Linked DNA regions of Lepisosteus oculatus. The protein of the gene in region 1 purifies or fractionates together with the protein of each later gene. This does not show direct contact. Links are inferred from orthologs where the notes say so. Each region holds a gene or a part of one and is shown in the gene's direction. Other genes may lie near its edges. The genes, in order: osbpl8 and Golgi apparatus protein 1.

Evidence for each region.
Region 2: the proteins of osbpl8 (region 1) and Golgi apparatus protein 1 purify together in Homo sapiens (co-immunoprecipitation; 3 studies listed by BioGRID and IntAct, with this or other methods). This does not show direct contact. The link is inferred for Lepisosteus oculatus from reciprocal best matches to the Homo sapiens genes OSBPL8 and GLG1.

The regions. Positions count from the first base shown.
Region 1 is NC_090702.1:21,121,280-21,125,200, forward strand, and holds the start of osbpl8 (oxysterol-binding protein-related protein 8), read left to right. Parts: upstream 1-1,032; 5' UTR 1,033-1,451; intron 1,452-3,921. UniProt on the Homo sapiens protein: Lipid transporter involved in lipid countertransport between the endoplasmic reticulum and the plasma membrane: specifically exchanges phosphatidylserine with phosphatidylinositol 4-phosphate (PI4P), delivering phosphatidylserine to the plasma membrane in exchange for PI4P, which is degraded by the SAC1/SACM1L phosphatase in the endoplasmic reticulum.
Region 2 is NC_090715.1:16,326,466-16,330,386, reverse strand, and holds the start of Golgi apparatus protein 1, read left to right. Parts: upstream 1-1,740; 5' UTR 1,741-1,954; coding exon 1,955-2,275; exon of another isoform or gene 2,276-2,875; intron 2,876-2,961; exon of another isoform or gene 2,962-3,044; intron 3,045-3,921. UniProt on the Homo sapiens protein: Binds fibroblast growth factor and E-selectin (cell-adhesion lectin on endothelial cells mediating the binding of neutrophils).

The DNA.
Region 1 (3,921 bases):
TCTATTTATCACCATCAGTCATTTAGGACAACATTGGATCATTCAGAGATCCTCGCTGAACTTCTGGAGTGAGTTTGCTGCACTGAAAGTAAAGGGGCCGAATAATTTTGCACGCCCCACTTTTCATTTTTTTATTAGTTAAAAAAGTTTCAAAAATCCAATAGATTTCGTTCCACTTCACAATTGTGTCCCACTTGTTGGTGATTCTTCACATAAAATAAAAAAATTATATCTTTATGTTTGAAGCCTGAAATGTGGCAAAAGGTTGAAAAGTTCAAGGGGGCCGAATACTTTCGCAAGGCACTGTAGATGCCTTCAGTTGGAGATCCTTGATTGACTAAGGCATAAAAAGATTCAGGTAATTAGAGCTTAAATAGAACAGGATATAAAGAATGCTGTTTCTCTCCAAGATTTTTTAAATTGTTTGACTAGTGCAATCTATTCACTATCTTTGATGTTGCACTGATGTTGGCCAAAAACTGCAAATTGGACAAGTGTGAAGGTGACCTTTTAAGTGATGAAAGCACACAAAGGATATATATATATATTATATTGTTCATCTTCATAACAACAATAATATATATATATAGTGGTATAAAGAGGAAAATTATCATCAGTACATGTTGCTTGTTCTTTCACCAATTGATGTGATACTACAGTGGAGAATCAGACTACTGTCAGATAAGTGGAATCAGGGTTTGGCCTAGATCAAGCTCTCAGTTTAAATAAATAAGGGACACATTTTTCAAAACCTTATCAGAACTCAACTTAATGGTCTTCTCTCAATATTCTATCATTCAGATTCTGAATGTCGAAGAATCAGTTTTCCTTGGAATACATTTTGAAAATGTAAATGTAATTTTTGGCTACCAGGGGGCGCAAGACACTAACTGATCAACTCAGACCTCCTACATTACGGAAAATTAAAATTTCAGTTCTGTAATGAAAGAGTGATATTTCTTTGTGGGTTTCTTAATGCTTTCGCTGTTTAAAAATGGTGGGGAATAGCATTCATTTTATTACGTTTTATCCTGATATACTGGAAATAAAGGATATAAACATCTCCAGACTAAAGGAATTGAGCGCTGATCTTCAGCAGGCCAAGTCAGAATGTCTAATCGATCTTCGATTCACGGAGCTCTAGTTGGCAGGAAGGAAGAGGCTACAATTGCGGACCTGAAGTCGTCCAAGAATAGGACAGTTTCACGTTGACAGATAAAAAATAGCCGCAACAAATGGGAAGATACCTATAGTTAAATTGTCAGAGTTTTGCCTGTGACCACCTATACGTCCTTGCTTAACAGGTTTATTCATCGCGTACTAATGAAGTTACTGCCATGACCATTTGACTAATTTCTCTTCAAGAAACAAATTCTAGCATCGGACAGTTGCATAAGGCCGTTAATAAACGTCGCATAAGGATCCTTTCAAGATTTTGTAGCATATGCAAGGTAAGGTCATTTTTAATTTCGTTAATACTGTGAGTGTGGCCACAGTGTGGATTACGAAGTGTGCTGTCAGGTAACAAGTTATAAGAATCTCATTTAACTTCTCTGCGCGTGTTTGCACTTAATAAATGCAAATACTGTACAAGTGTTTTTATGAGCTTATTTAAAAAAAAACTTAAAACGCTTGGATGTTTCCCATCTGTATAAATATACCACAAAGGCAAAGCCTTTTTTGGGGGGAGGCATTACAAGTCATTCTGAACTAGAGACAGCTGATATTTTTAATCGGTTTTCAAAGCGAGACAAATTTCAATGGAGGTGCTCGATTACTTTTATCATGGTAAATAAAGAATTGACTGGACTAAATGTTCAGCACCCCAAGCAGGTTTTACATATGCAGTTACAAACTAGTCACGTACCTTCTTGGTTTTAGAAGTGTGTTTTCTCGCGTTTAAAAAAAGGTAAAAGGGAGGTAAAAAAATTAAATGTCCCGAGTTTCAACTTGTATTGCGTGCAACCGACTGGTACACTATGTTGCTTGTAGTAGAATATATCACTATAGTAGTTGTACCTGTTTTATTTTAGAGATCACGAAAAAGTATATAATAAAGATTGAATCATTAGTTGTAGAATGAACTGCATGTTGTTACTTGAGTGAAATCCCTATCAAAAAGGGATGGCGTAAAGACACCCAGCAGATCCAAGAGCATTTCAGGGGTGCTGGCTGACCGCATTTTTCTTAAAAGAATTAACCATGCCATTCGGATGGTGGTTTTGTCCACAAAACAGCGACCCTAATCTGGTTGTGCGTAATCAATTCGTCTTATGGAACTTGAAAACTTCATTTTTTATTGCGACGAATCTTTGTAATTAAAGAGTAAATATCGTAACCTCAATGTACTTGTTTTACACGGGTTTTAGGGATACACCGATGTGGGCCTATAATAACGATAACCGTATGCTCCACGACAAGATGACTTATTGAATAGTTGGTTATCTCTTACGTAGTCGTATGCAGAGCATGAACTGGGAGGTGAATGTCTTGTTTCGATTTGATCGGGCACTCTTCCATATTATATTGTCGATCTTTGTCAAAATGTAATGTTACATTTTTCAAAACAGAAGAGACTGTGCCCTTACTTTCTGGATTTCTGCAATATGCTTCTACGTTCTCCATTTTTAAGCATGTGATGCAAACATCCTCTATATACAGGGACTACGCGAGTCATGTTTACCTGATACTGATTCTAATTTGAGGGTAGTGTTTTTATTTACGTAACATGAAAATATTTTGCTGGTATGCACGTAACCAGAAGATATCTCTTGACAGAATGTTTTGAATATCTGAAAAGTGTGTCCAAACAAAATGTTATGTACCGCGAAAGCACAACGACAAGCATTAATTGCTAAGTAAATATCACGTTTCAACTTTCTCTTTAAAGACAAGAACTCTGTAACAAGACACTCATTCACTTAACAGTTTCGGAAGTGTAGTGTCTGCTTTAGTTACTTACTATTCAACCTACAGGACGTTGTTATTTAAGTTAAAGCACATTTCGTTCTTTTACAAGATTTCTTTTATTACATTTTCTCCTGAGTGTTTTTGCAAATACATGTAAGAGGAAGCCCAAGCTATTACTTGTATTATAGATATTACACCATTATATGTCCAGCCATCTCATGTGTTTATTAAAAAATACTTATTTTGTGGAATTCACGTTTTTTGGTCACTTTGACTACTGCTTGAAAGAGTACACGTTTACTCTTGAATAGATTTCTCCTTTATTTCGTATTCTATAACACTACTATATAATTTACTACTATGCACATAGCATAATACAATATGACACTGCATATTCTGTCGTTTCTACTAACACTTCGAAAGAGATCAGTGAATAAAGTGTTAGAACAGTGAGAACATTTAAGAAGTACAAATCTGTATGTTTTTATCCTGCATCATGTGCTTTGACCTATTTTGAGATCTGCAAAATAATGACATCGTGTCTTTCAGATCACCTACGAACCCATTCAACTTGGTAATTATGCTTAAAAATAGAGTGGATGGTTTGCGGCTTGCAGGAATTAACTGTTGATTCAATCACCTTTTTGATTAAAAACGGTTTTGATGGAAAAAAAACATCCTTATTCTTTCAGGCTAATACAAATTATCCAGCTGATAGTTGACAGAGTGTGACTTGTAGCTCAAATTAACCTTTGAACAAATTGTACCTAATTAGTGCTTTCCCTAAACAATTCCTGTCCAGAAATGATGTATGTATTCTGACCCCCTGCTCTACAATATTTTTATTTTGTTTTTAAAAACAGTTCTCTAAGAACATTACATGTGACGTGCTGTGGCATTGTGGGATGCATTGGTAATGGTGGGAAAACACATTTAGTTCTCTGAGGACCTTGTTACGTTTTGGAAAGTCAAACACTTTTCAACAGGCCACCAGGACTCTGAGAAAGACAT
Region 2 (3,921 bases), on another chromosome or scaffold:
AATGTGTAGGTTTTCTGTAAATCTTTCTCAGTGCCGCTTGCTGGACAGACCCCCATCATTCAAGTCAGCAGGCCCAATCAAACTCCCGAATTTAAACCTAGATGTGCAGCAAATCACATTATCTAATGCAAATGTTGGCTATTGGCAAAAAAACAACTGCCAAAAACAGATGTTAAAGCTTCTCAAAGCTACTCTGTTAGTAAAATAAAACCTGACAACACCAGGAGAGTGTTGGTTTCTGCACTACCAGTGTTTAATGTGAAAGATTCTCTGATTGCATCAGGGAACAGTCTCTCAGGACCCCAAGGATGATTAATTGATTGATAATTAATTTCAAAGCAGTATTGTACCACTGGTAGAGCCACAAATATAAGTACGAGCTGCCCAACTCCCTCTACTTTGTGACTTCCTGTGGGCCTGTTTTTGTATTGTCTTTTTATTTTCATGAGAATATTCAAACCATCGCAAATGGCTGCAGCCCAAGAAGGAAATTTAACAATGCTCGTTGAGTTGTTTGTTTAAGGCAACAATAACAATCCGAAGGTCCTAGTCACCGTACTAGAGGAAGGTCTTGTCTGATAGGTCACACGTAGTCAACCAAATTGGTCGAACAGGCTCACTTACTGCACATAAACGAAGAAAGGGTATCTTGTAGGTGTCTGCTAATTGTCCAAGACATGCTGGTACGGAAGACTGGCCCTGGTGTGTGTGTGCGTGTCTGTGAAGGACCGGTGTCCTGTCCGGCCTGCTCCATGCCTGGGGCCTGTTACCTGCAGGGACAGGCTCCAGCTCCGCTGCCACTCTGCTGGAAGACATGGTTAGGAAATGGCTAACTGGGTAACTGCTGTCTTGTCCTGTATGTCAGAGGCTACTCGACTGTGAATGCAGGAGTAAGACAGCATGTGTAGATTTCCAGTGTGTTGAGGGAAGGGTGTGCATTTCTCAGTGCGAGCTGCAGTAATAAGGTACTGCACCTTTCTACCCACCTGCTGCAGAGGGCCCGGTAATCTAATAGACCTACTCCTGCCTGGATCTCTTCCACGCCTGATGGATTTTTATGTGGTGAAACAGACCCGCGCAATGTCCAGCAATTGACTTTGGTCCATATACCCATCACCACACAGGAAACAAACCCGCTCTCTCGATGTCTAGTTAGAACCACAATGATCGAAATTAAACAGCCGTAGTTCGCCTGTTTGAAAAGTTCAGCGTAGCAGAAAAGGACCGTTAATTTTTTTTTGTGAGCATTTAATAATCAAAATCTTTACCGCATTTCACAGTTTGTTCAAAGGGTTCTTTTTTTTATGGTGGATGTGTCTGAATAGCCCATGCAATCGTGCGAAGGAAATTGAAAACAAACTTAAAAAAATAGTTTTATTTTTAAAACAATTATTGCCGATGGCACTGGCTATTCAGACACGTTCATTATATAAAAAAAGAGAACCCTTTGAACAAATTGTAAAATAGAATTCACTAGGGCTTCGAAATAAGGCAAACTTCTCATATTTCCCCAACTATCAATGCACTAGAGACACGTTTATCTCTGCTACAGCATCAGAACTTATCTCAAAGCTAATACAACGGGCTCCAAACCAGATCAATATCTGATTCTCGGGGTCGTCTAAGTTTATGGGTTTACTGTCACCGGTTAACTGTAACGTCAGTGAGCTGACGTTGTGTGTGTTGTGTTTTTTTTATTATTTTAAGGAGAGAAAAAAAAATTACGGCTACTACTACTAGGCCCGTCCCTCGTAGAATAACAACTAATTTAATGTTTTTGACAGCCCAGACCGCTGGCAGCCCCATTAGCCGTCGGTTTGGGGCTCCCGCGGTGCCGGCCCGTCCGTGCGGGGGTCGGGGAGGAGGGAGCGGGGTGGGCCGGCCCACAGCGCGCACGCCGACGCTTTAAACAGGAGTGGCGTACCGCCGTCCTGCTGTAGCCATTTCCCCGAAGATGGCGGCGTGTAGACGTGTTCAGCTGCTCCTACTGCTGATGCCCGCCTTGCTGGCTCTGTCCGCCTCCCGGGACGCCCGGCAGGGGGGCAATCCGATGGTCGTCCCCGGCGGCGGCGTCCCCCTGGGCGGCCAGAACCCCGGCGGGCCGCCGAACCCGGGCGGTGTGGGCCTCGGAGCCCCGGCCGCGCAGCCCCGCCGGGCGACCGGCTGGAAGCTGGCCGAGGAGGAGGCCTGCCGGGAGGACCTGACCCGGCTCTGCCCCAAGCACACCTGGAGCAACAACCTGGCCGTGCTGGAGTGCCTGCAGGACCGCAAGGAGGTGAGGCGGCGGCGGCGGAGGCGGGGGGATCTGCGGGCCGGTAGGCAGGGTGTTGCCTGCAGGGAGATGGGGGGGACTGGGTGGCTGGTGTGGATGCGACAGGGACGGCTCTGGAGCAGCGGGGCGCCGTCCCTCACAGACGGACACGCACACCACCCCCGCCGGGGACTGCAGGACCCGCCGTGCGGTACGAGGCCCCCGCTGGAGAGAGACACCACAGCCCTGCGTGTTAAGGGGGCTGCTGCATGCGTGTCTTTGTCACGGTGGTGTGGTCAGTGTGGGGGAGACCCGTGGGTTTGTCACCGTGGGAGACGGGTCCTTGCACGACCAGTGACCAATATCAACTGATACTCACGAGTTGCACCGGCAGCAAGGTGCCGTGTTCATAATGAACGAGCAGCTCAATGGCCAGCAGTTCAAGACGCCCAGTTTGTGAGTCTTTTAAATGGCATTGCTGAGCTTCTCTCTCTCAGCACTGAGGCGTGCTGTTACAGGGAGGCTGAATTTCAGAGATTGCTCGTCCACGATAGTATACGTGTCTTCCCTGGACGAAGGTTTGCAGGATTGTACAGCGCCTGTTAGAGGAGTTGTTGCATTTCCCTGCCAGAGAGGAACATAAACTGAGCCGGGTCTGAGTCTCTTGCCTCCTTTTGTGTATTTGTGTGATTGTAACCGCCGTGAGGTACCTGGGTTTTCTGCAGTGCTGTAACCTAGCTGGGGTGGTGAAGTTGGAGACGGTGTTTCGTCACGCTGTTGAACGGGGCTACTCCTGGAAGAAAGTAAAAAAAAATAACTTCAATAAGAAGTTCAGACTAAAGGGAGGAGGGGCATCAAACGTCTAAGTTATCTATGCACTTGAAATCCTTTTTGAGAGGGAAAGGAGTATGCAAAGACTGACATTAAAGCCTTTTTCACTTTTACTCATGAAACTTGCTTGGCGTTTTCCTCGCAAGAAAGCGCTTCAGCGGTGTTTCTAGGGCACGGCGTTGAGCTTCTGTGTTGGGGGCACTGACCGCAGCGATGCATAGGTTGCGTGCCACATTTCGCGAGTGGGGCATGACGTGTCATTTAGTTGTCGTCCCACGGCGCCGCCGCGGGTGGGGTTTTTTTTTTTTTACTGTCCACGGCCCAAGCGTGTTCACTTTGCGAAAAGCCTCGAGTTTAAGGGAGGGGGGGAACCGTGAAACGGTGAAAAGCAAGCAACGGGCTTGAACAGGATTTCGGGTTTTTTTCCCCCAACATCTGGCAACTCGAATGGCATTCAACGGCAAACTTCTGCAGTAAATTACCTTACTGACGCAGCTTGCAACGACCGTAAACTCAGGGTGAGGTGTGCAGTTGACAAAGCACGACACGGCCAGCCGCCTCGGCTCATAGGGACCCTGCCTCCCTCAAGTCGTCGTTGTGAACCGCAGGGAGAGGAAATCCTGTTTCGTCTCTCCTCCGGGTTACCAAGGTAATGGCTGGTGACTAGCGCCTCGGAGACAGCGCGCCAGCCAGCACAGGGCCCGAAAATGCCATTTATATCTATATATATATAAAAACACAGTTTGGCAATAGACCAAGGCAGCGGTCCCAAGAAATATTTTGCCCCCGCTATTTTTTTTTCCCTGCGAGACGTGTACGAGGCGTCACGCGTTCAGGGC